Linked DNA regions of Saccharomyces cerevisiae S288C. The protein of the gene in region 1 binds, or shares a complex with, the protein of each later gene. Each region holds a gene or a part of one and is shown in the gene's direction. Other genes may lie near its edges.

Region 1 (11,653 bases):
TACCTCCTTGCAAAATAGAATTTTTGGAAAAGTGGGCAGAAGCGTTAGTGCAAAATTATTCTTTACCAAATATTCTGGCTTGAGGCAACTGCTTTTGAATATTCTAAACAGTTCTATTGCTCAATATTCGGGAAGTGAAAGAAAATCATATCAAATTGAAAGCATTTTCTTGGTCCTTAATGTGCTACTGAGGTTACGGCCTACAGCTGGCTATACTGGTCTAAAAGAATTCAACGTTTCTGTTTATGAATGTTTATCAAATGAGAACTGGAAGATCAGAGATATGGCCTCTAGAGTATTGCATATGCTGTCGGAAAATTTTGAAGAAGAGATAAGAAAATTACTTGACTTGGCTTCTATCGCGAAGCAAAACCAGTTACATGGACACTTACTAGCACTCCAACAACTAGTACCACAATACCTTTCAGGAACTAGAGATATGGAGTTGATTCAAAGGATACTTGAAAAGAAAAGGATGCTTCTACTAGAGAACAAGTGCTTTATCACTAAAAAGGCCTACTTAAAATTGACCTGCTGTATATTGGAAACATGCGACATACCTGATTCTATTTTAAAAGATTATATCAGCACTTTGCGGAACACATTTATTGCTGAAAATAACGAATATGTTGTGGATGGTAGCAAACAGCTATATCTTGCACAAATCTTAGACATGCTCTTAAAATATGAGGATAGTATATATCTCGATGATATTTGCTTATTAGGATTGTATTCTCCATTTTATGAGGCTCAGCTCAGTACACTACAGTACATGAATACTAACTTTCACTGGGAAACTACAAGAAACTCAGAATTTCTTGAACAACTACAATTATTACTCAGGGTTCCAGATTTGCTGCCTATGGCTAAAGCTTTAGTAGTGAAAATTCTCTCAAGAAAAAAGAATACTTTATCCCTGACGACCTGCACTGATCTCCTAAAAACAAATAATAGTGAAGATACAAAACTTGCTGCCGTTTCATCACTAAGTGCTAAATTGTCTTCGCAAACCTTTCACCAGGTATGGAACTTGTTACAAGGATTTTTCGCCGATTCTTGTTCAAAAGATTTTAGATTGGCATCTTTAGAATGTTTAACTGCTTATCCAGAAAGTTGTAAGAACTCCAGAATACTATTACAACTGTACAACTTCTTATGGGACGATGATTCTGAAATAAGAGAAAAGGCTTCTTTTTATTTGAATAAGAACTTTATTCAAACTGCAGACTGGGAATATAACAGGAACACCAGTGTGACCGCTCTTATATTCACAAAAAAGTTTGTTGACGTATTCACAAGTTCTGAGGTGGTAGAAGAGTTGTGTTTACAGTTGTTTCAATATCTAAATGAATATGATATGTTTGCTGCCGAAGAATCGGCGAAGAATTGTCTATTTACTATAGAAAAGGATAACCAGTTCATCAACGAACTACAAAAGGCAATGCATATATTAAATATGATAAAATTGACTGGAAGGGATATCTCAAAGTGTTACAAAGACCAGATACATCACCTAAAAAGTGCTCTATTGGAGCACTTCAACACCGAGGATTTTAAAGATTCCCCACTCGGCTGGTGCTCTAATGCTGAAATATTTTCAAGAATAACGCTTTTAAAGGAACTGATTCAACATTATTCTCCTTCTGATTATGAGAATTTTATCAATGTTCTGACTAAACATTCTGTTCATCCCCTAATTATCAGTTATTCCCAATTATAAATAATGAATATGTACAGATATATACTTTGCATATAATCTGATTCATCTCTAACCTACTTGTGGATTTAGTGACGAGATTCATTGTGGAACCTATTACAAAGCATGTCGATTTCTATTCTAAATACAATGATGGAACTTGATTTAATTTCTTTACCGTTGTCATTTTCTTTTGAATTTTTTCCACCTCTTTTTTTGTTGAAAAATGTTCATGGATGGAAAATTAAAGGTGTGCCCTATTACAAAAGCAAGTTGTACCCCTTTACTAACTCTCTAGTCAATTTGAACTATTGTGAAAACGACAGTTGTGCTCACATGATATAACAAAAGTAATACTGACAAATGGCATTCCAAGATCAAGATATATTCATAGTGTTCTCGCATGCCTCCTTATTTCTTAATCAAAATGATTTATTAAGCCTAAGTCTAACATCCAAAAAAATGCATGACATGATTGCAATCCCTCGTCTTTATAGCAATATTCACATAACTAAGAATCCTGTTTTAAGAACAAACAAATGGTTTTTGGACGGGGGAAAAACTTATGTAAGTGGTTATAGATCTGTTCTGAAAACCGGTGACAAGAATGACATATTTTTATATGATAGAATTGAAAGGTTGTTGGAGACATCGCATTTAAAATGTATAAAACAGCTGACTATTGACGAGGATTTGTTTCACAACAGGGAAGAAGGATTGCAACTGTTACAAAGATTGGTCAATGAAATCACTGACTTGGACGTGATTGAAAGTCTTGACATCAAGGATCCTACCTTGTTTGAGTTATGTTCAGCAAAGTATTATCGCCTGTCAAGTTTAAAGAAGAGAGTAGTATATGGCGAAACTGGATTTGATGGTATCAAATTATGGCAAAACTTCAAAAGCTTAAAATGGCAATTACCTGAATCGTTGGATTTGCAAAACGTAATAATCCCTGAAGTGGGTGTAATGTTAATGAAGCAACTTAATGGAGGAGAGTTAGAAATAAAGGACGAAGCGTACTCAAGCCTAAGGGTCTTTGAATACTTTGATTCCCTGAACCTCCGCTTCAAGAATCTGCGCCGTTTGAAGCTTAATCATGTTCACAAACAAGGTGATGGGAGTGCTACTTCTATGAGATTATCTTCACGCGCGTTTAAGGATGTAGTTAATTTATCCAATCTTAAAGCCCTTGAATTAGAATTTTCTTGTGAGGTGGACGACTGTGAATGTGATGATGACTTTCTTCAAGATATAACAGGAAACCTTGTTTCCTTAACAAGTCTGGGGTTCATTGAAAAGACATTCACCAAAAAAGGGTACCATTACATGGACGAGAAATGGGACTTGGTCGTTAATAAGTTTATTTTAAATTTACCAAACGTGAGTAAAGATTTGCGTTTGTTAAGCATACGACATGACCCACCTTTAAATGGCAAGGGCATTGATACTGTTGATGGGAACTTGCTTCGCCGTAAAAAACTTTATGAAAAGGTTTTACCAAAGCTAACTTCGTTGGAAACAATAATAGCTCCAACTGTATTGCAGTCCATCACCTCATATGAAATGTATGCGTGTGACCTTTTGTGGAACGGCTGCAAATGTGCGTTCTGCTCCAAATACTTACCATTATTTGATAAGTACATCATGAATCATCAATACTTTTCGACCCCGGATGCAAGATACTTGGATATTATACCGATAGTGTTTGCAGCATATACTGGAAAATCTCTAGCTAAGAGGTTTGATCCTCAGAAGAACTGGGATTTGGATTTACTACAGTATGCCCCTGAGGATACGACGTGGAATTTCCATGGCTTTGAGAGAATTCATCACTTTGCAAGTTATGAATGTTATTTTGACGAATCCTCATTTGAGCCCTTAGCCACTATTATATCGCATTTTTTTTATCCTTACATGAACTACTTGATAAAGATATTGCCAAACCTTCGCCAAACTATGTTGTCAGGAATATACTTTAGCGTGAGCCCAGAATTACACACTTATGAAACTATTTATGATTAAACTTGATAGTTGTGATAAACATTTCTTATGTACATTTGTTGAAGGAGTTCGTATATATACAGCCAGTTGAGTAATAATTATATTTTACTATTGCATTTCATAATTATTACCCGGACCTTACGAGTTCTTCGAATAATAACCATATATTTCAGAAAGGTAGGCATACCGAAGGAAGAGACAATGAAAAAACTGAAATGAACAAGCTTCTGTATACGATCCAAGGATCAGAAACGGTTGTTATTTATTGTTTGGACTTCTTGTTGTTAGGCTTTATTTACCGTGCATAATACTATCTGATACTTTGAGAAACCCCTCCCCCCACAGAAAGGTTCAAAATTTACAATTGCTGCACTAGGTCTACACTTTCCTCTAGATTTGTAACTTGAAGACCCCATTCCAATCGTTTAACCTGTCTTTCCTTTTATTATCGTTTTATTCTCTTCCTTTTTTATAAAATTCTATCTGGTATAGAGCATTTTTATGTTGATCATAACTTTTCATGTATTCTATTAATTACACCACAACTTTGATATCGTCAAATTTTTTATCACTACCTATTAAATTTAAACAATTGCTTACGAGAACTTAATGTTACAACGGAGATTTATATCCTCCAGTGGTATAAAGAGATTACTTCACAGAGAATCAAACAAGGTTATGCACACTGTTTTCTTTAAAGTACGATATTACTCAACTGAGTTGATCAAAAAAAAGCATAAGGAAGATATTGAGGATTGGGTTAAAGCGCAACTAAAAGATTCTTCAACAATAAGCGGTGTGTATGAGTCTCGGAATAAACTCGATTGGATGGACTCCATTACCAAAAGCCCCAGCAGCTTAGATATTCTTAAGAATCAATATAATATAGTGAAAGACAAAGATTTTGGAATATTGTGGAAGCAAAAATTCGAAAGTGCAGATCCAGATATTTTGATGACAATAATTAGCCTTTCCACTAACCAAAAGGTTTTGTTTTCAATACAGCAATTACTGATCTTAATAAATTCTCTTCACTTTTTGAAAAGGGACTACGATATTGGACAAATATACACAACATATGAGCAATTCACGCCCTTATTAGCAAGCCACACTGATAAAGGCACATATGGTCAGTTCATCGAAATTATGTTGGTAGTACAGCATAATTTACATCATTTTGATGTCTGTGAAACTTTATTTGCAGAATATATCAAATATTGCAAAGTAAAGCCACAAATGATATCTTTAGGATTAAACTCTTTCATAAGGAGTAATAACACTCAACTAGCGGTGGAATTTTACACGCAAGCAATTACCAATCCTGATACATTTCCAATAACTGAAAAGCAGCTTTTTGAGTTTCTCCGATGTATGGAAAGATATCTAGATATGTCCAGTATGAAACACATCTTTTATCTCTGGTTGAAAGTGAAATGTGGTGATGAGCAATCCTCTTCAACTAACCTTCCCTCGTTCAAAACCCTCGCGATAATACACAGAATGTTATTACGTTTTTCTAATACAGATGAGCTAAACGATTTTTTAACCAATCCCGTTGTTTTAAGTACGGGATATACATCAAGTGTGCAGTTTGAGTTGATTGAATTTTGTCATTCTCTGTATTGCATCAAAGGAGACAGAACAAAAAGCATTGATGACTCAATATTGATGGAAAGAGTTGATAAATTTATTACCAGACTTAATAATAATATTTCAACACGAAAAGAGCTATATATGTCAGTGGTTCAAGCGTACGTCTCTACTAACAATTTCGAGAATTTAAAAGTAATCTTGGAAAAAATCCAGAGAGATAATGATATTAGCATAGACGGTTCGTTTCATTTGTGCATTTCTAGGTATTTTGTCAACACCAATCAATTCGAAGGACTTTTCAAATATTATCGCAGTGTAGTTAAAACCACTGATGGTAAAACGCGATTACGGCCCGCATTTATTCAACAATTATGGTCATGTGCCGTAAATGTTTATCCAATGCTGGCAAAAGAAATTACAAATGACCTACTTGTGACTCTAAAAAGGAGCCAATACAGCAAATGTCTCACTTGGGTGTACACATTTTTACAAGAAAATGCCCATATCCATACGAGAAAGATCAATGGAGGAGAAGACTCTTCGTTATCTGGTTTCAACGCGGTTGATTTTGAAAGGTTTGAAGAGTTCAAGAAAAAAGTTTCTCACAATGATGTATATGGAGCAGAATTGGTGATTTCGAATAGTTTGAAGGAGGGCATTGCGCCTCAATTTTCATTTTTGTATTCCGTTTTGGCATTATGCTTGAGAAACTCTTTAACTGGTTTGGCACGTGTAGTTGATGTGATATTAAGGACCAGATTCCGCTATATCCCACTAAAAGTCGATATATTATGGTTGAAATGGGAGATCATTTCTAATTATAGATCTTTTGAAAAGTTGTCTGCTGAACATTTAAAAGAACTGGAATTCAAACTGAAGGAATTTGAACGAGTACATCAAAAGGAGCTTTCAGTTCAAAACTATTTACAACTTACTCAAATATGTTTCCACACCCGTGATTTCAAATATGCATGTTACCTAATTTCACAAGCTAGAAAAAATTTGGATACTTCAAATAACAAACAGTGGATGATGTATTACATGACATCTTTAAAGTTGGCGTCAAGAATGCATGAAAGCGAACGGTTTAGTAGGATTTTAAAAGACTGGAATTGTAATCATAGGGCAAGCCTGATTACTCCAGGTTGCATTAGACAAATCAAAGGCTTTATGAAATATTTTGAGAAAAGGCCTGCTTACATTTCAACTGCTGCTTCCATTGATAACAAGGAGATAAAGGATCGCATTGACGAGTTAGTACTTAGATATGTGGACTATAAATACCAGGGGCTTGAGAATATGAGAAAGTTAACACTTTTCTTAAAAGAATGGTTTGATGAAGAGATTTCACTATTAAAGTTGGAGCAAAATGAAAGGAAAATGAAGCTTTTTGAAGAGAATAAAAAGGAGGAGGAGTAATCTTTTCAGTTATTTACCTTCCTTTCTCTCACGTGTAAATATTTGTGTGTCATACACACCGCTAAAAACCTTTGCATCAACTTATACCCTACATTTCTATAGACGCTATTTGGAAACAAGATGTAACCCTTTTTTTCTTTTAGTTTTGAGATTTGTACTCGTAAAGAGTACGTTTATTTATTTATTCAAATTTTATTCTTCATACCATGTAAATATAAGCGCATATAATCACTACGATCTTAGTACAGCTAGAATTGCTGACGCTTACAATTGCTTTATTGTTTGATTATATGCACGTATACATATAGTGTCAGCAAAAAAAAAAAAAGGCAGTACTTGATTGGCTACGCCGCGCATCGTCCGAGAAATCCGGCCTGGTAGGGGCAGGTTTGAAAAGGCGGATAGAAATAAAAGATGATATTATTTATTCATCCCATGAATAGTAGAACTCGATATAAGATTCTAAACCAACAAGTACAGAAAGCAAAACAATAATAAATAATGGCTAATAAAGTTATTCAACTACAGAAAATCTTCCAATCTTCCACTAAACCTCTATGGTGGAGACATCCAAGGTCAGCTTTATACCTGTATCCATTTTATGCTATTTTTGCGGTAGCCGTCGTTACACCACTTCTATACATTCCAAATGCTATTAGAGGTATCAAAGCCAAGAAGGCATAGTTAGGTAAAAATAACATCCGTTCATAGCATCTTTATAATTGTTCTTTGATATTAAGTGTGTATGCTCAATACACATCACCCAAAACATTTTTATTCGAAATAAGATGAAAGCCATTTATTTATATATACATATATAATATTCTAAAGAATAAGGAAACAACTAATCGAACTAGCATAGCCTTTTCCATCTTTGTTTTCTTGCGCAGTAATAAATCGTTTCAGTTAGGCCTGGCAATAAAGATTTGCTAATCATTGAAAAAGGTGTGATTGATTTTCTCACTTGAAGTATGTCTAGTATTTATTAAACAATTATAATGGTGTAAACTAATGTCTCTTCAAGCAAAACGTGCTTAAAAGTGTCCATGTGATGGGAGGGATCATATTTTCAAAGAGGTCTTCAAACGTTGAAGGATAAGCTCCTCTTCATCATCGTCAACCCAGTTGGAGCTCCCTTCATCGTTCAGAAAATCCATCAACACTTGTTGCTGTTGATTCTTGTGATGAGTCTTTTGCAATATTTCCCTCTGCTCTTCAATTTTCTTTTTTAATAACTTCATCTTAGAAGCGGTATCCTGTTTGGATTGTGTTTTGGTAGTTTTCATCTTGCTAGGTGAAACTGGTGGAGGAGATATCTCTGTTGCTTTTTGGGAGAAAGGATTTATCGCCAATGATTCACTTACAGGCGATATTTTGCCCTGACTATGAGGCGGCTTCTTTTCTCTGGGAAGAGTTTCCTTTATTTTATTTTTCGTTTTACTTTCGTGGTTACCTTTGTTATTCTTCACTTTGTTTACAGAATCTTTTTTCTTATTGTTTGAACTTGATTCATTACTCCACCTGCTATTATTATTCTTTTTATTGTTATTACTCCGCTTGTGACTTGGTTTCTGCTTCTTTATTGGTTCTTCGTCAGGGGCATCGGCCCATATAGATTCTAAAGGCATGATAAATAGTAAAAATGATATTGAAGGTATTCTCCTATCAAAAATAGCTTCTCACCCCGCTGTTAGAGACTAGCTCAATGGTGCCACTGATATTGCTTATCTTACTTTTTTCTAAATTTTCAACATTTCTGCGCCCTGTAAATCACGTGCTCGTTACAAAATACACTGCCATAGTAAATACAAAATGGCAAACAACGCCCAGCATCATTGATGTTACATATACTATGCACGTTTTTTATATGACGATAATACTTATTTTGGTCAGGAAGCAAATGCAGTCCATACATGCGTTTCTGGGTAGTTTATGCTTACCCTCCCACGTGCTAGATTTTTCGATTGTAAGAGATATTTTATCATGGTATTTCCTTGAGACAGTCGCAGTATGACACGATATGTACAAAAGCATAAGTGACGGGATGATTACAGAAAGCTTGTTCTATTACTTCATTAACTCGCGCAAGCCAGCAAGTCTGCCGACACATCGATATATTGACATATATTTACTTGACGTAGAGACCCCAGATACCGTCATGAGGCATTTTCCTAACTAGGAAATGCACCTTAATTTGGTAAAAAGATACCGGCTAACGGTAAGGGATAGGGCTCCTAAGGGCCCTTCCAAAGATCGCAGAATGGTGCGAATGGTAGTTGGATATTTTGGACAAAGATGTGGAATTGGAAAGCGAGATGTTCTTTGATCTACTTTAGAATTTTTCTTATTTCAGTAAAATTCCTTTTTTTTCCTTCTTAAGTTTTCGTAGGCATGAATTTGTTGTTGCTGTGGTGAAGAAAATAGATAGAGATAAGAAAATGAATCCATCAGTACCGAAGGTTATGAAAAGAGAAAACAATACACACCTACTAGTTTCTAAAGAAATGAATGATACGAGTTTGCAACTACCGTCTACTACGAGATCACTTTCACCGAAAGAGTCAAACAGCAATGAAGACTTTAACGTCGATGGCAACGAAACAACGCTGCAAAGAATAAGTAAAGATTATTTGAAACCAAATATTGGGCTTGTTCTCTTGACAGTATCATATTTCTTCAACTCGGCCATGGTGGTGTCTACTAAAGTCTTAGAAAACGACCCCGATGATATTGCCAATGATAGACAGATCAAGCCATTGCAAATCTTATTAGTTAGAATGGTAATAACATATATTGGTACATTGATATACATGTATATTAATAAGAGCACAATTTCGGATGTACCATTTGGTAAACCTGAAGTACGCAAATGGTTAGTATTGAGAGGTTGCACTGGATTTTTCGGTGTCTTTGGAATGTATTATTCGTTAATGTACTTGACGATTAGTGATGCCGTTTTGATCACTTTTTTGGCACCATCACTAACAATATTCCTGTCGTGGGTTATCCTGAGGGAAAGATTCACCAAAGTGGAAGCGCTCGGTTCGCTGATCTCATTGCTGGGCGTGGTGTTAATTGTAAGGCCTTCATTTTTATTTGGAACTCCCGAATTGACCGACTCTTCCTCTCAAATAGTAGAATCATCGGACCCAAAATCGAGATTGATTGCCACTTTGGTTGGGTTGTGGGGTGTTTTAGGGATGAGTTGCGTCTACATCATTATTCGTTATATTGGTAAGAGGGCTCACGCTATAATGAGTGTGAGTTATTTTTCTTTGATCACAGCGATAGTGTCTTTCATTGGGATTAACACTATCCCTTCAATGAAATTCCAGATACCACATTCCAAAAAACAATGGATACTGTTTGGTAATCTGGGTGTGTCCGGCTTTATCTTCCAGCTGCTATTAACTATGGGTATCCAAAGAGAACGTGCTGGAAGAGGGTCTTTGATGACATACACACAACTACTATATGCGGTTTTCTGGGACGTTGCACTGTACAAGCATTGGCCAAATATCTGGTCGTGGATTGGTATGATAATCATCATAAGTGCCACGTTGTGGGTAATAAGGATAAGGGCGGCAAACAATGAAACAACTGCCAAGGACCTAACCCCAATAATTGACGACGAAGAGAACTCTATTCCCCTGACAGAGTTTGACCTATCCGATTCTAAATAAGACGAGTATAAAATTCCTCAGTTTCTACTATGATTTTTTTCCTTCTTTTCTTTTTTTTTTGTGTCATGTTGAAATGCGCAGTCCGAGGAAGCAAGGACACGAAACAAGAGAACAATAGGGAAAGTGGGGTACACGAGCATTCAGAAAACAAAACAAAAGGATCATCGCGTCGTTCAGCAAGTACCATATAAGCAGCAAAACGAAGAAGATCGAGTGTGAAGTGTTAATGTTTGGTAAAGTTTTCGTAAGCTACATCAGAACAAGAATTGGGTTCAAACCTTTAAGCACGATATACACGCCTGTTTCTTCTTCTTCGCTCAGCTTCGATAAGGAGGCATGTTTCCCCTTTAAAAAATGGCACGAACTGAATATGTCCCAGAAGCAAGAGTTTATTCAGCGTTTTGTCAAAAACTACAGGCACCAATACCCAAGTTCTAAGACCAATGTTTCGCTGAAGGGGCTGAGTATTGGCATGGACGAGCACAATGACTCGCCATCTGTGTTCGGCATATTTTATAACGATATCTGGAAATCGTTTAAGAACGAGCAATTAGGAACTAACAATGATAATATGAAATCGGGTAGTAGGTTCAGTCACCCCAGCTTTAAACAATTGTTAATACAGAAGTGATTGCTTCCGTTTCCCAATTTTTCGCTTCCCTCCGCCGCGCACACCGTTTCTTCCGATCATTTTAGATATTCATTCAATAGTTGCTTATTTTTGGGTTCTTTAGAGGAAAAAATTTTCGATTAAAATTACTTAATATTATATTGTTATATATATAAACTTGAAAGAAATTACTTTTTTTTTTGTATTCGTTTTTTTTTTTTCATTATTCACCGGAAAAGGTGAAAACTTATTACTATATTGCACACCGAGAGAAAATCATCGGAAAAATGTGGCCAATGGATTAACAATGACACATATCGCCAATAAAGGTGACTTTGGATTGTTCTTTCTACACCCGATTAACCACTCTTTCTCTTTCAATGTATTCCAAACAAAGTCTAAATTTAAATCAAAAAGGCCAAAGCACCAGCTAGAGCAACACCAGCGGCGCCTGCAACCTTACCGTTGTTTAAACCGGCAATTGGTTGGGCAGCATTCTTTGAGCTTGAGCTGTTAGAACTGTTAGCAGCACTTACTAAACCAGTGAAGGCGACGGCGGAAACAACAACTTGAGATAACTTCATTTTTTATTATTAGTCTTTTTTTTTTTTGACAATATCTGTATGATTTGATAGTCCTCTGCAATAA
Region 2 (3,163 bases), on another chromosome or scaffold:
TATTATGTATTATTATATAAATATATATATATATTATATTATAAGTAATAATAAGTATTATATTATATATAGCTTTTATAGCTTAGTGGTAAAGCGATAAATTGAAGATTTATTTACATGTAGTTCGATTCTCATTAAGGGCAATAATAATAATATATTAATTAATAATTAATTTATAATAAATATATTATAATAATTAATATATATATATATAATATATTTAATACAAAGAAAATATATATTATATCTCTTATTTATTTATTTATTAATATTTTAATAAATATAATATTATAAAAAAAAGTTTATATATTTAGTTCCGGGGCCCGGCCACGGGAGCCGGAACCCCGGTAGGAGAAATATAAATATAAATATAAATATAATATAAGTTTGGTATTCATTTAATTATATTATTTAATTAAAAATATTCTAAATAAGAATAAATATCAATAAAGGAGTTATAAATATATATATATATTAATATATATATAAAAATATATATTATTATTAGTTCCCGCTTTGCGGGAACCCCGTAAGGAGTGAGGGACCCCATGGGAACCGAACCCCTATTTAAGAAGGAGTTTTATTATAATAAAATTTATATATATTTAATATATAATTATAAAAATATTATATAATAAATAATAAATAATTATTAATAATAAATAAATATAATAATAATATTATAATAAATTTATAAATGATTATAATAAATTTATATTAATTTTTTATTTTGTAAATACTAAGATTTGAACTTAGATAATATGCACCTAAAAACATACATTTTACCATTAAATTATATTTACCTTATTAATTATATAAAATTTATTAAATATATAATATATTAATTATATAAAAATTATTAAATAAATATATAATATATTATATATAATTTATAATATATATATTATAAATATTATTATATATAAAATATAATATACTACTTATAAAAATATATATATATATATAAATATATATATAAATAAATATTTTATATATTAAATTAAATAATTATTAATAAATTTAATTATAAAGTATAATTTTCAATAGGAATATTTATAAGATTATAATAATTATATGAATTATTATAATTATATATATATAAATAAATAAAATAATAATTATAATAATTAATAAGAGTTTTGGATATATATCTGTGGAGTATATATTTTATAAAGGAGATTAGCTTAATTGGTATAGCATTCGTTTTACACACGAAAGATTATAGGTTCGAACCCTATATTTCCTAAATCTAGATATAATATTATATCTATCTTAATATAATAATATTTATTTATTAAATAAAAAAAAAATAAATAATATTAATTAATATAAGATTCTTTTTTAATTATAATAATAAATAAATAAAAAGAAGATATTATCAATGATTTATATTAATAATAAATATAAATAATAAAAAATATATATAATATAATATAATAAATATATTTCCTTTAATATTAATAAATTAATAATAATAATAATAATAATAATAAAATATTTAAATAAATTATATTCAATACAAATTAATTATTTATATTATTAATAATTGAATAAATAATCCGGTCGAAAGAGATATTAATTCGATTATATTATTTATTTAATTATATTTAATTTAAATATATAAATTAATATATATATATTGAATTATATATAAATTTATTTTATAATTTTATAAATAATATATTATTATAAATATTTAATATAATTTATATTATTATTAAATAAAAGATTTATTAAATTAATATTATTATTTAATTTTATTATATAGTTTAAGGGATAATATTTTATTAATATTTTTTTTATTTATTTATTTAATTATATTATATATATAATATATATATAACAATAAATTTATGACACATTTAGAAAGAAGTAGACATCAACAACATCCATTTCATATGGTTATGCCTTCACCATGACCTATTGTAGTATCATTTGCATTATTATCATTAGCATTATCACTAGCATTAACAATGCATGGTTATATTGGTAATATGAATATGGTATATTTAGCATTATTTGTATTATTAACAAGTTCTATTTTATGATTTAGAGATATTGTAGCTGAAGCTACATATTTAGGTGATCATACTATAGCAGTAAGAAAAGGTATTAATTTAGGTTTCTTAATGTTTGTATTATCTGAAGTATTAATCTTTGCTGGTTTATTCTGAGCTTATTTCCATTCAGCTATGAGTCCTGATGTACTATTAGGTGCATGTTGACCACCCGTAGGTATTGAAGCTGTACAACCTACCGAATTACCTTTATTAAATACTATTATCTTATTATCTTCTGGTGCTACTGTAACTTATAGTCATCATGCCTTAATCGCAGGTAATAGAAATAAAGCCTTATCAGGTTTATTAATTACATTCTGATTAATTGTTATTTTTGTTACTTGTCAATATATTGAATATACTAATGCTGCATTCACTATCTCTGATGGTGTTTATGGTTCAGTATTCTATGCTGGTACAGGATTACATTTCTTACATATGGTAATGTTAGCAGCTATGTTAGGTGTTAATTATTGAAGAATGAGAAATTATCATTTAACAGCTGGACATCATGTTGGATATGAAACAACTATTATTTATCTACATGTTTTAGATGTTATCTGATTATTTTTATACGTAGTCTTCTACTGATGAGGAGTCTAAGGCTATAGAATTATATATCTAAATGATTAATATATATATTATTAATAATTAACAATAATTAATATATTATAATTTATATATATATATTTTATATTATTATAATAATATTCTTACAAATATAATTATTATATATTATTCCTTCAAAACTCCTAACGGGGTTCCCGCGAAGCGGGAACTAATAATAATATAATCATTATACTCTTTTTTCATTTACCTTTTATAAAGATAATTAATAAATTTATTTAATATTTATAAAAAAAAAAATATAATATTAATATAATATAATATAATAATGTAATTATTTATATTTTTATATTCCTTCGAGGTCACCGCCTCACCTCCAGCGGGACTTTTTTAATATGATATAATATAATATAAATATTATTAATTTAACTAATATATAAATTCATATATATATATATATTATTAATATTATTTTATAAAAAATATTTTTTATTTGATTATTATTAAATATTATATAGTTCCGGGGCCCGGCCACG

Evidence for each region.
Region 2: the proteins of COX7 (region 1) and COX3 are in contact, whole or in part, in a cryo-EM structure (PDB 8DH6), measured with the Saccharomyces cerevisiae proteins. Residues at the interface, in NP_013983.1 of Saccharomyces cerevisiae: Ala2 (codon at 7,217), Asn3 (codon at 7,220), Val5 (codon at 7,226), Leu8 (codon at 7,235), Gln9 (codon at 7,238), Phe12 (codon at 7,247), Gln13 (codon at 7,250), Leu19 (codon at 7,268), Trp20 (codon at 7,271), Arg22 (codon at 7,277), His23 (codon at 7,280), Arg25 (codon at 7,286), Ser26 (codon at 7,289), Tyr29 (codon at 7,298), Leu30 (codon at 7,301), Phe33 (codon at 7,310), Ile36 (codon at 7,319), Phe37 (codon at 7,322), Val39 (codon at 7,328), Ala40 (codon at 7,331), Val41 (codon at 7,334), Thr43 (codon at 7,340), Pro44 (codon at 7,343), Leu45 (codon at 7,346), Tyr47 (codon at 7,352), Ile48 (codon at 7,355), Ala51 (codon at 7,364), Gly54 (codon at 7,373), Ile55 (codon at 7,376), Lys56 (codon at 7,379); in NP_009328.1 of Saccharomyces cerevisiae: Met18 (codon at 1,905), Pro19 (codon at 1,908), Ser20 (codon at 1,911), Pro21 (codon at 1,914), Trp22, Val25 (codon at 1,926), Phe28 (codon at 1,935), Ala29 (codon at 1,938), Ser32 (codon at 1,947), Leu35 (codon at 1,956), Ser36 (codon at 1,959), Leu39 (codon at 1,968), His42 (codon at 1,977), Gly43 (codon at 1,980), Tyr44 (codon at 1,983), Ile45 (codon at 1,986), Gly46 (codon at 1,989), Met50 (codon at 2,001), Leu53 (codon at 2,010), Phe56 (codon at 2,019), Val57 (codon at 2,022), Thr60 (codon at 2,031), Ser61 (codon at 2,034), Leu64 (codon at 2,043), Arg67 (codon at 2,052), Asp68 (codon at 2,055), Ala71 (codon at 2,064), Glu72 (codon at 2,067), Thr74 (codon at 2,073), Tyr75 (codon at 2,076).

Annotation. Positions count from the first base shown.
Region 1 is NC_001145.3:774,688-786,340, reverse strand, and holds COX7 (cytochrome c oxidase subunit VII), read left to right. Parts: upstream 1-7,213; coding exon 7,214-7,396; downstream 7,397-11,653. Other genes in the region: tRNA methylation protein TRM732, read left to right, coding at 1-1,720; ROY1 (Roy1p), read left to right, coding at 2,060-3,721; PET111 (Pet111p), read left to right, coding at 4,310-6,712; GFD1 (Gfd1p), read right to left, coding at 7,774-8,340; YMR254C (uncharacterized protein), read left to right, coding at 8,418-8,726; YMR253C (uncharacterized protein), read left to right, coding at 9,151-10,395; MLO1 (Mlo1p), read left to right, coding at 10,622-11,026; HOR7 (Hor7p), read right to left, coding at 11,410-11,589. UniProt on the Saccharomyces cerevisiae protein: Component of the cytochrome c oxidase, the last enzyme in the mitochondrial electron transport chain which drives oxidative phosphorylation.
Region 2 is NC_001224.1:77,360-80,522, forward strand, and holds COX3 (cytochrome c oxidase subunit 3), read left to right. Parts: upstream 1-1,853; coding exon 1,854-2,663; downstream 2,664-3,163. UniProt on the Saccharomyces cerevisiae protein: Component of the cytochrome c oxidase, the last enzyme in the mitochondrial electron transport chain which drives oxidative phosphorylation.